2 linked regions of the Schizosaccharomyces pombe genome follow. The protein of the gene in region 1 interacts with the protein of each later gene in a biochemical or structural test. Each region holds a gene or a part of one and is shown on either strand. Other genes may lie near its edges.

What was found. The genes of interacting proteins can lie anywhere in the genome.
Region 2: the proteins of cdc6 (region 1) and cdc1 form a complex in vitro, tested with the Schizosaccharomyces pombe proteins (3 studies listed by BioGRID).

The regions. Positions count from the first base shown.
Region 1 is NC_003423.3:2,741,626-2,749,160, forward strand, and holds cdc6 (DNA polymerase delta catalytic subunit Cdc6), read left to right. Parts: upstream 1-2,136; 5' UTR 2,137-2,217; coding exon 2,218-2,446; intron 2,447-2,498; coding exon 2,499-5,530; 3' UTR 5,531-5,565; coding exon of another isoform or gene 5,566-6,702; 3' UTR 6,703-6,971; downstream 6,972-7,535. Other genes in the region: Ras guanine nucleotide exchange factor efc25, read left to right, coding at 1-1,540; hen1 (S-adenosylmethionine-dependent methyltransferase), read right to left, coding at 5,566-6,702; ribonuclease H Rnh1, read right to left, coding at 7,166-7,535. UniProt on the Schizosaccharomyces pombe protein: Catalytic component of DNA polymerase delta (DNA polymerase III) which participates in chromosomal DNA replication.
Region 2 is NC_003424.3:4,013,211-4,017,057, reverse strand, and holds cdc1 (DNA polymerase delta small subunit Cdc1), read right to left. Parts: upstream 2,009-3,847; coding exon 868-2,008; exon of another isoform or gene 819-867; coding exon 571-818; 3' UTR 501-570; downstream 1-500. Other genes in the region: msm1 (methionine--tRNA (Met) ligase), read left to right, coding at 1-480.

The DNA of each region.
Region 1 (7,535 bases):
GCACTCAAACGATTTTTCTACAATGCCTACAATGATTGCTTCCATTGCTGTGGCTTTCCAAACTTTATTTGAAAATGTTTGTGATTTTCTTAAAGTACGTGCTGCTCTCGTCGATGAGATGCAGGAATTAGCAACAAAAGAGTTTGAAAACAAGTTTTCAAATGCAAACACAGCAAAAGATGACGAACCGGCTCGTCAAACTAACAAAGGTACTACTAGAATTTCTAGAAGTTCTGATTTTACCGCTGTTAGCGAGATGAGCAAGGATACCTTAACACTTGGCAGAAACTCTTTGCAATCAATTTTGATGCTGGATAATTTGTTAACCAATAAAGTTGTGCAAAGCGATAACAATGTTAAAGGTGGAACTTTACCGGCCCTCGTGCATTACCTTGTCCAGAACGTTCACTTGAACAAAGATTTTCGCCATTCGTTTCTTTTGACTTATAAAACGTTCACTACCCCCCAGGAATTGTTTACGCTTCTTGTCATTCTGTTTCACGAGTTACCGCCACCAGGATTAGATGCTACAGCATATAGTTCTTGGGAAAAGGGAGATAATTTTGTTACCAAGAAGAACGTCTGCACCGTTATGAATTTGTGGGTTCAAAAATACTTTTTTGAAGATTTAAAAGCCCGTAACACTCTTTATTTGATTTCGGAGATGCGTACCTTTTTACGTGACCATGTTGTTCCATCTTTTCATATTGGCAGTGTAATTTTATCGGAAATTGACAATCTCTGGACTGAAGAGCCTCCAGATTCGTTAACCCAACGCCTATTATCTTCTCCCATGGCTACTTTTATTTCTTTAAACGTATATGCTTATACTCCTGAAGAATTTGCTTCCCAGATGACATTATTGGAGTTTGATTATCTAAAGCAGATTCCTTCGAGGGAATGGATATTTAGAAGCTGGGTTAGTCGCGATTCTCGCAGCGCTGTCCGAAATTATATAAACTTTTCGAATTGTTTCACCTATTGGATAATCAATTGTATTTTAGAGAAAAAGAATACCAAAGCTCGTACAGCAGTAATATCCTTTTTTATACAAACTGCCTACAAGTGCTTGTCCCTCCAAAACTTTTCCACTCTAATGTCTATTGTTTCTGCCTTAAATTCTGCTCCTATTTATCGTTTACATGCAGCGTACAAACTTGTTAAAGCTGAAGACATAATATGTCTGTCTGGTTTACGTGAAATCGTGGAAACAAAGAAAAATTTCAGTACTTATCGTGCTTTACTTCGCAAGGCTGAACTTCCTTGCGTACCGTTTTTGGGTGTCATATTAAGTGACTTGACTTTTATCGATGAAGGTAACCCCGATGTTCTTGATTCATCTCCACATCTGTTAAGTTTTAATAAGCGGCATCGACTTGCCGATGTCGTCGCAGATGTGTGCCGATTCCAATCCTCCTCTTACGAAATGCAATCTAATACTGATCTTCAAAGCTATATTTTACATCGGTGTCGCTTTGTTAACCAAGATCTGTCCTATTTATTTGATAAATCACTCTCACTTGAACCTCGTTCTTCTTAAATCTTATTTTTTACCCCTCTCTTAAAATCCCGTTTTGGTTTTAGCCCGTATAGGGTTCGCTCTTTTAGTTGTCTTTCAGACACAGCTTTTAATCTATCTCTTTACGTATTTACTGTTAATGTTATCGTATTGGTTTAACTGACATGACCTTGATGTTGTATTATTCATTAGGCGTTGGTAAACAAAGTCTCAGAATAAATTATCGGAATTGTCGGTTTGTAGGCTGATGACTCTGCTCAGTTTTCTTAATTCCTATTGCTTGGAATCTAGTTCTTTTTGTTTTTGGACAATTGCGTCCTTTTTATTACTAATATCTTCCATTAATAATAAATTAGTCTTTTGTTATGCCCAAGAATACATTAAGTAGTGGTTTATGTAGCTTGATGGAGATTGGTATAAACTTGTATATTTGATTTCTTTCTCCATCGTAATTTGACAGCTAACCTATTTAATGTGGTTTTACCTTTTCAGCAGTTGACACTCATACCAAAATTTATTGGTGTACGCTTTGAACTTACCTACAAGATATTCGCCTAAGTACCTATTTGTTGTTACCTACAAAACCCTTTTAGTTGCTCGTCTTCCTACCAAAAACCAAGAGCATGTAAGCTTGGTGTCTTCCTTATTTACCATTTTCTGTTCTAATTTTCATAATAAATAAAAAATTAATTACTAGAATGACAGATAGGTCTTCAAATGAGGGCGTCGTGTTAAATAAAGAAAACTATCCATTTCCCCGAAGAAATGGTTCAATTCATGGCGAAATTACAGATGTCAAACGGCGACGTTTAAGCGAAAGAAATGGATATGGTGATAAAAAGGGCTCATCCTCAAAAGAAAAAACTTCATCTTTTGAGGATGAGCTGGCTGAATACGCTTCACAATTGGACCAAGATGAAATAAAATGTAAGGTTTTTTGGATAGCTAACCATTTATTAGTATACTGACTCCTTGATAGCTTCAAAAGATCAGCAGTGGCAACGACCAGCTTTACCTGCAATAAATCCTGAGAAGGATGATATTTATTTTCAGCAAATCGATAGTGAGGAGTTCACAGAAGGATCTGTACCTTCAATTCGTTTGTTTGGTGTTACTGACAATGGAAACAGCATCCTTGTTCATGTTGTGGGATTCCTTCCGTACTTTTATGTTAAAGCCCCGGTTGGATTTCGACCTGAGATGCTAGAACGTTTCACACAAGATTTAGATGCTACTTGTAATGGGGGTGTGATCGATCATTGCATTATAGAGATGAAGGAAAATTTATATGGATTTCAGGGAAATGAAAAATCTCCATTCATTAAAATCTTTACTACTAACCCTCGTATATTATCTCGAGCACGAAATGTATTTGAAAGAGGAGAATTCAACTTCGAAGAGCTTTTCCCTGTTGGTGTCGGTGTCACTACTTTTGAGAGCAATACGCAATATCTTCTTAGATTCATGATTGACTGTGATGTTGTTGGTATGAATTGGATTCATCTTCCTGCTTCAAAATATCAATTTCGTTACCAGAATCGAGTTTCTAATTGTCAAATTGAAGCTTGGATTAATTACAAAGACTTGATCAGTCTTCCAGCTGAAGGCCAGTGGTCTAAAATGGCCCCACTGAGGATCATGAGCTTTGATATTGAATGCGCAGGTCGCAAAGGCGTTTTTCCTGATCCCTCTATTGACCCTGTAATTCAAATTGCAAGTATAGTAACGCAGTATGGAGACTCCACTCCTTTTGTTCGTAATGTCTTTTGTGTTGATACATGCTCACAAATCGTTGGAACACAAGTATATGAATTTCAAAATCAGGCTGAAATGCTTTCAAGTTGGTCAAAATTTGTTCGTGATGTTGACCCAGATGTTTTAATTGGGTACAACATCTGCAACTTTGATATCCCTTACCTCTTGGATCGAGCAAAAAGCTTACGCATTCACAATTTCCCATTACTTGGCCGTATTCATAATTTTTTTTCTGTCGCAAAGGAAACCACGTTTTCAAGTAAAGCATATGGTACTCGTGAAAGCAAAACCACTAGTATTCCTGGGCGTTTGCAGCTTGATATGTTACAAGTAATGCAGCGTGATTTTAAGCTTCGATCTTACTCTTTAAATGCAGTCTGCTCTCAGTTTCTAGGCGAGCAAAAAGAAGATGTACACTATTCTATCATCACTGACTTGCAAAATGGCACTGCCGATTCTAGAAGACGTTTAGCTATTTATTGTCTGAAAGATGCATATTTACCCCAACGCTTAATGGACAAATTAATGTGTTTTGTTAACTATACTGAAATGGCAAGAGTAACAGGTGTACCGTTTAATTTTCTTCTTGCTAGAGGCCAACAGATTAAAGTTATTTCTCAATTGTTTCGCAAAGCTCTTCAACATGACCTAGTTGTTCCAAATATACGTGTAAATGGAACAGATGAGCAATATGAAGGTGCTACAGTCATTGAACCGATTAAAGGATACTATGATACCCCTATTGCAACACTGGATTTTAGTTCACTTTATCCTTCGATTATGCAAGCCCATAATTTATGCTATACGACATTACTTGACTCAAATACTGCAGAATTATTAAAACTTAAGCAAGATGTTGACTACTCAGTGACTCCGAACGGAGATTATTTCGTTAAACCACATGTTCGTAAAGGACTACTCCCTATTATCTTAGCTGATTTACTTAATGCACGTAAGAAAGCAAAAGCAGATCTAAAAAAGGAAACGGACCCATTCAAAAAGGCTGTTTTGGATGGTAGACAGCTAGCTTTAAAAGTAAGTGCTAATTCAGTATATGGATTTACTGGTGCTACCAACGGACGTTTGCCGTGTTTAGCAATTTCTTCTTCTGTTACCTCTTATGGTCGACAAATGATTGAAAAAACCAAGGATGTTGTAGAAAAGAGATACAGAATTGAGAATGGATACTCTCACGATGCAGTTGTAATCTATGGTGACACTGATTCTGTTATGGTTAAGTTTGGCGTTAAAACGTTACCTGAAGCCATGAAATTAGGAGAGGAAGCAGCTAATTATGTTTCAGACCAGTTTCCGAATCCTATTAAACTGGAGTTTGAGAAAGTGTACTTTCCATATCTTTTAATTTCCAAAAAACGTTATGCAGGATTATTTTGGACTCGTACAGATACTTATGATAAAATGGACTCTAAAGGAATAGAAACTGTCAGAAGAGATAACTGTCCTCTAGTATCTTATGTGATTGACACAGCTTTGAGAAAAATGTTAATTGATCAGGATGTAGAGGGTGCACAGTTGTTTACAAAAAAAGTTATTTCCGATTTGTTACAAAACAAAATTGATATGTCACAACTTGTAATCACAAAGGCATTATCAAAAACTGATTATGCTGCCAAAATGGCACACGTTGAATTGGCTGAGCGAATGCGTAAACGAGATGCTGGCTCCGCCCCAGCCATAGGAGATCGCGTTGCATACGTTATTATTAAAGGTGCACAAGGTGATCAATTTTATATGAGGTCGGAGGACCCTATATATGTATTGGAAAATAACATTCCTATTGATGCAAAATATTATTTGGAAAATCAACTCTCCAAACCTTTGCTTAGAATTTTTGAGCCTATTCTTGGTGAAAAAGCTAGCTCTTTACTTCATGGTGACCATACTCGGACGATTTCCATGGCAGCCCCCAGTGTTGGAGGAATAATGAAATTCGCAGTAAAGGTTGAGACCTGTCTTGGATGCAAAGCTCCCATAAAAAAAGGTAAAACTGCTTTATGTGAGAATTGTCTAAATAGATCGGCGGAACTGTATCAACGTCAGGTTGCTCAAGTGAATGATTTAGAAGTTCGTTTTGCTCGCTTATGGACTCAATGTCAGCGATGCCAAGGAAGTATGCATCAAGACGTCATTTGTACCAGTAGAGACTGCCCCATATTTTATATGCGAATTGCAGAACACAAGAAACTTCAGCAATCTGTTGACTTACTGAAAAGATTTGATGAAATGTCCTGGTGAAAAAGATGGATGTTTTTAATTACTAAATGTGTATATCAAACGTAATGATGAAAAGTTATAATAAAAATTCTACTTTTCTTAAGTACTTTTGCAATGCGAAAACTAAACGAGTTTGCCAAAGCTATACCTTTATGTTTGCTTTTTTTTAATTCAGGACAATATGATAAGTAAATTGAATCATCATAATGGAAGGCATGTCGAATGAGAGGCGAAGACTCCCAGATAAACAAGAAAGGTAATTTTACTGACAAAGCACACTTGCCAGCAATAACCTGGAATAAAAGTAAACAGTGACGTCCAAATAAATGATCAAAAAATGCTTTTTTCAGAAGATTCATAAATTGCTGCACTGTTGGAGGAAATAGTTGCTCCATAAATGGGTATGTAATCTTTTTGTAAAGAAGGATGCTTGAATTTTGGTCTTTTAAGAAGCAATGAGAAGCAGCATTGTTTTTAGATTGATGAAATACTGCGATTTGGGTGCAGAAACCGTAAGTAGATGATGGGCGAAAATGTAACAAATCGTCACCATCTATTAGATCATTTAGCAAACCACAGCCCGTAAATTCAACAGTATACTCTGGGTATCTTTTACAAATTTTATAAGCCCATTTAGCAAACTCTTTTCGATCCCATTCAAAAACGTGTTCAGGATGTCTAAAATTGGTAGAAGTACGAGATGATATACTACTTGTCAAGGTTGATAGTTTCTCAAAGATTGTGTTAAATTCAAAATTCGGAGTTGACACTACGCAAACATTGGGCTTCAAGTTTCCAAAAACAAGTTTTTCAAAGGCTAAAATCTCTGCAACTTGACAATGCTCAATAAACTCTGAAGCTACAACCGCATCAACATGTTTATAATGAGTAAAATCTTTAATATTACCAAGCAATAATTCAATATGTAGCGGTCGCCAACGTAGTTGTAAAAAGTCTTCGGTTCTAACCTGTAAAGCCTCAGTAGCTCTTTCAATACTTTGTTCGTTAATATCAATACCGGCCAGAAATTCTATAGGCACTTGATCATTGCAAGGTACTAAATATGATAGAAAACGAGCATCTCCACATCCAATGTCTAACAAAGATCGCACAGGGAAGCCTCCTTGAAGTATTTTAAATAATTTCCTTCGACGCTGTACATGCAAAGGTGGGTAAAAGCTAGAGACACCCATTGTCTAAACTCAAAGTATTTTTGGTACACTTTCTTCACGTTAGTCAAATAACTACCTATTAACTGTGAATGTTCGTTTCAAAACCACTATTTAAGCCTTTTCAAATTCATTACGAAGCGAATTGTTATTAATTCTTTGCTAAGTCCATTGCAATATGATTTCGATGACTGCCGTTAAGACACCGAACCAAATTTAATTGAAAAGGGAATTGTTGACTAGTGCGAAGTGTCATTTTCAACGTTAAATAATAAAATTATCTTAGCTCCGAATCTATACTTTTCAATTTCCTCTTTAAAATTGTTATAATAGCATGATATTTAATTACAATAAAATATGTAGCATTATGCAAAACGAGAACAAAAAAAGCACATACAACCAGCGAAGAGTAGACGAAAATTATACGGCAAATTTCAAAAGAATGTACCTATATCCATTTTTTACAGCGCTCATCATAGATGACCATTTACTCAGAAGCTCCTCGCCGAGCAAGCATATCGGCTTGTTGATTACCGTAATCGGTACTGTGTCCTTTCACGTACTCTAGCGAAACATTTCTGTCACTCATCAAATCTGAAGCGCGGTTGATCAAATCCAAATTTTTTACAGGTTGTGAATTGCTAGTCTTAAAGTCATTTTTCTTCCATTTAGGCAGCCATGTGGTTAGTGACTTAATGGAATAATTGCTGTCAGAGCGGATGGTCAAATCGCCAGATGTATTTTCAAGGGCTAGGATTATGGCTTGCAATTCCGCACGATTGTTGGTTTGCTCTTCCCCAGCCAACGGTACTGAAATATTTCTTGGGTCATCATTTCCGAAAAAAACTCCACAGCCA
Region 2 (3,847 bases), on another chromosome or scaffold:
TCTTTAGGTGTGCTACTTTCTCGATTGCAATCGAAGAAACTGTTCATTTCCAATGAAATACAGAAGCAATGGCATAAAAAGGATGATTTTACAGAATACGAAGATATTGTACACGAACTTATAGAACTTCCTGTTGTTTGCGCGCAAAGCATAGATGGTGGGTGTGTTTACGAGGTTATTAATCTTGTTCAGTCTGTTTTAAGAAGAGTCACTAAGCTTTTTCAATTGAAAGAACCTTGGAAATTATCAGATGATTCTCAAGAAAAGATTGACACTTTAATGTTAGTAGCTCACAGCCTACGCATTAGCGGAATTCTCCTACAACCTATAATGCCAACCAAGTCGACTGAGTTATTAGACCAATTAGGAATTCCTAAAAACCAGCGCTCCCTACAGAATGCAACTAACGTTTTTGAACCTACGGAGTTCACGTTCCACAGTGGTAATAATTCTCATTTGTTTGACAAAAGAACTCAATGAGACGTGTAGATCAGATAATTATGATGACAACAGTAAGAAAAAACTTATTTATTTAATAAATACATGATTAAATATTCAAGATATTTTGCATTAAGAAGTAATTGGAGTCTCTGCTTTGACTGACATGGGGCGGAATTGAATAATTTCTACGTTGAGCGTATGCATATTTATGAGAACAAGTACACCAGTCTTACGAAATTCGGGAACGGAAACCAATTGTATTCTGTTTCCCTCATTAATGACTGTTTTGCAGCCAAATTTCGGTTGATTACCACAAAGATATAGATCAGGCATTTCCTCCATTACAAATGTATCTTTGTCGGTGAAAGGATAGCACCCTAAAATCATTAGCAAATATATCGTTTGAAAAATGTACAGATTACTTACATAAGGTATCAGGGCTGGTAGGTGTGATATGATTCCATAGTAAAGTGTTTTCCATGCATTGAAGTGAAGATTTTTTGGGATGATATTTTCGGAGATCATTAATGTTTTGGCCGCTAGTAGCCAACACAAAATGATTGCCAAGAGAAAGCCAAGTGGGATTCGTAACTGTTTGTAAAGAAGATCCCAACCAAACTTTTGATTTAGTAAGTAAAGCGGGATGCAAAGGCTGTTGAGGAAGGATAGTTGAACTGTAATCATAAGGACCAGGCATTAAAGTGACATCTATGCTGGAACACACTTGATCAAGAAAATTATCTAGTTGGAAGGTGGGATTTGGATTGTAAGCAGACGTGTCATAGCCATATCTTTTTACTTTTTTCTTGCCAATGGGCACGGACGCAGAAGCGGAGTCGGCAATTTCTATAGAAGGTGCTAAGCAATTTCCGAGAATAATTAGCCTTTTGATGGAGGAAGGGGAAAAGGAAGAGACATGTGGAAGTGTTCCTCTTAGGAAATCTACAAGCTGATGAACTTGAATGCCTTCTATGCCGTCATTTGAGAGACCTAAGCCACTGACTGCCGCAATGTACTCTGGTTGAGCTTGCGATTCATCTGTAGTCATTGGAATGGAATGAGAGAAGATGCCTGGAAAACAAACGTCAACGACAACGAAACGACCTTGTTCATCTTCATGGCCCAAAACTGCAAGAACAACTCCTGTAACAACGCCAGCGTCATACAAAAAGCTTCCGCTACAATCTATACGGCCATAGTCATCCTCAAGAGCATATTCTATATCACCTGAAGCAGCATCTTCTGGGCTAACATACGGAGATTCTTCAGTAGTGGTGACAATTGTATGAAGTTGTGTGACATCGTTCATAACGTTTGGCTTAAGAGCTGTAGTCATATAAGCGGTAGCGACAACCCAACAGTCTTCATCTGACTTAACATCTAAAACGCGTTCCAATCGCTGTTTATCCGGCCATTTTTTTGAAGCGGCTTCTGTGATTCTGGGTCGAAGAGCGGTAAGTCGGGCGAAATAGATGCTGGCGTACTGTTGACTATACGTTTGCTGACTTAAACTAAGCTCCAAGCGTTTAGTTTCTTCACAAGGAATTGAATGTCTGACTTCAACCATGATTATTTTGTAAATATATACAGTTAGGTAAGTTAAACACTTACCAAAGGAGTAGTCAGGATATTAAATCGAGATGCTCCACGAAAAATTTCACAACAATGGAGAGTGAAGAGTTGTCTACGATTCATGCAATTACTAAAACGAGCGAGTATTGCAAGTAAATGTGCGGAAAAAAATATATATATATATATATATATATTTATATGATTTCCCAAAAAACCTATGAACGGCCCCAAAACACCTGTTTAAAAAAAAGAGGAATAAATATAATAACGCTTTTGTTGTTTTTTCAATAAAATCAGTTCTTTAAATGTTATTGACTAATTTACACAAGCAGCATATGTAAAGAGTAAGGAACTTCAAAGGTGTGCTATGCAAGGTTAAGGGGAATCAATTTCATGGAATGGAACCAGGTTTAGAAGGTTCGAATAAGCAAAGGAGTTGGATGCAGCAGATCAACAAGTAAGAATACGTTGTATATGAGAAAGTCGTGGTTCCTAACATGACTAGCTGTTGTTACCTACAACAATAAAGTGTTTGAAGAACATCTTTTTTTAAATGTAAACAAAGAGGTAAACTTGACGAAAAGAGAAAGAAGCTCAATAAAGGTGAATGTTTACTAATTGAGGATGAACAAACATCATGTGGGTTTATTTCGTTTCATACAATTAACATTTTTCTCAACCTTGAACAATCATGATGAATCCATATATTTAGTCTATCGAGTTTTATCACACAAAAGTAAAAGAAGCAAATTCCCCAACGAAGTAAATGAACTACAAACCCTTTCCTATAGCATAAAAAGTGGGTTTTCGATTTATTTGATGATTGTAAATTAATAACATTATGTTAATTAATAGGAGGAAAGGTAGGCCAACATAGTGCCCTAGAAATGGTTAAGGTGATTTCTGTATCTTACTATATTACTTATTAAAGATGTATATCAAAACTACATTAATTTAAATTGAGGTTTTATTTTATTCCGTTGAAATCTGAATATTAAATAACGCAATGTTGATCGGTCACACTATTACCCCATATGGAAAAGTATTGTAGAAGGAAAAGCAAGAATAGCAAAACCAAATTCAAATGTTTAAAGTAAAATGAAAAACTTGCCGATTTTCTTCTTCTTCAAAGATATCAATACATCCTTTATAAAAAAGCCGCTTGTCACGAGAGGTCAATGAAGCGGTATTGCCTGTTGTCCGATATCAGAGAGCTAGCTATAAATAGACTGTGGACTGTTAACATTCAGTATCGGCTACAGCTGCGGGATATCGAACACAGGGATAATCGAGTATACTGAGATGAATCAATGTTGCACGATTTAAAAAGGTTTTAACGACTCATAAACTTGTGTACCAAAAAAAATAAGAATCTCTATGTTAGAGAATAATAATTACTTGCATAGCCAGCCAGTTGTGTTTTAGTTGTTAATATACTAAATAGAAATAACTTGGCAACTTGAATGAAATGGAAATAAAATCTTATTGTGTGTGATTAATGCAGTAAAACATAAAAAAAATGAGAAACTGTTTACGTATTAAAAGGTCATACGGTTTAAAAACGGTTGAAAGTTTGATAAATTGAAGATCGAAAATTACGATGAGATCTTTTGCTTAATGCACTTGTATAGTCAACATTTCACACAGTTACATTTTCACATTCGCCGGAATGTCGAATTGTTTAAAAAACTTTTACTTTATAGTGTCTTGCAAGAAGGACCTGCCTGCATACTGTAAAAATTTCACTTTCGCACTGCTAGAGTTTGGAACAAACGAGCCAATAACGGTTCTGCGGACAGTTGTCGGTTTCCGCTTCCCCTGAGGTTAAACTAAA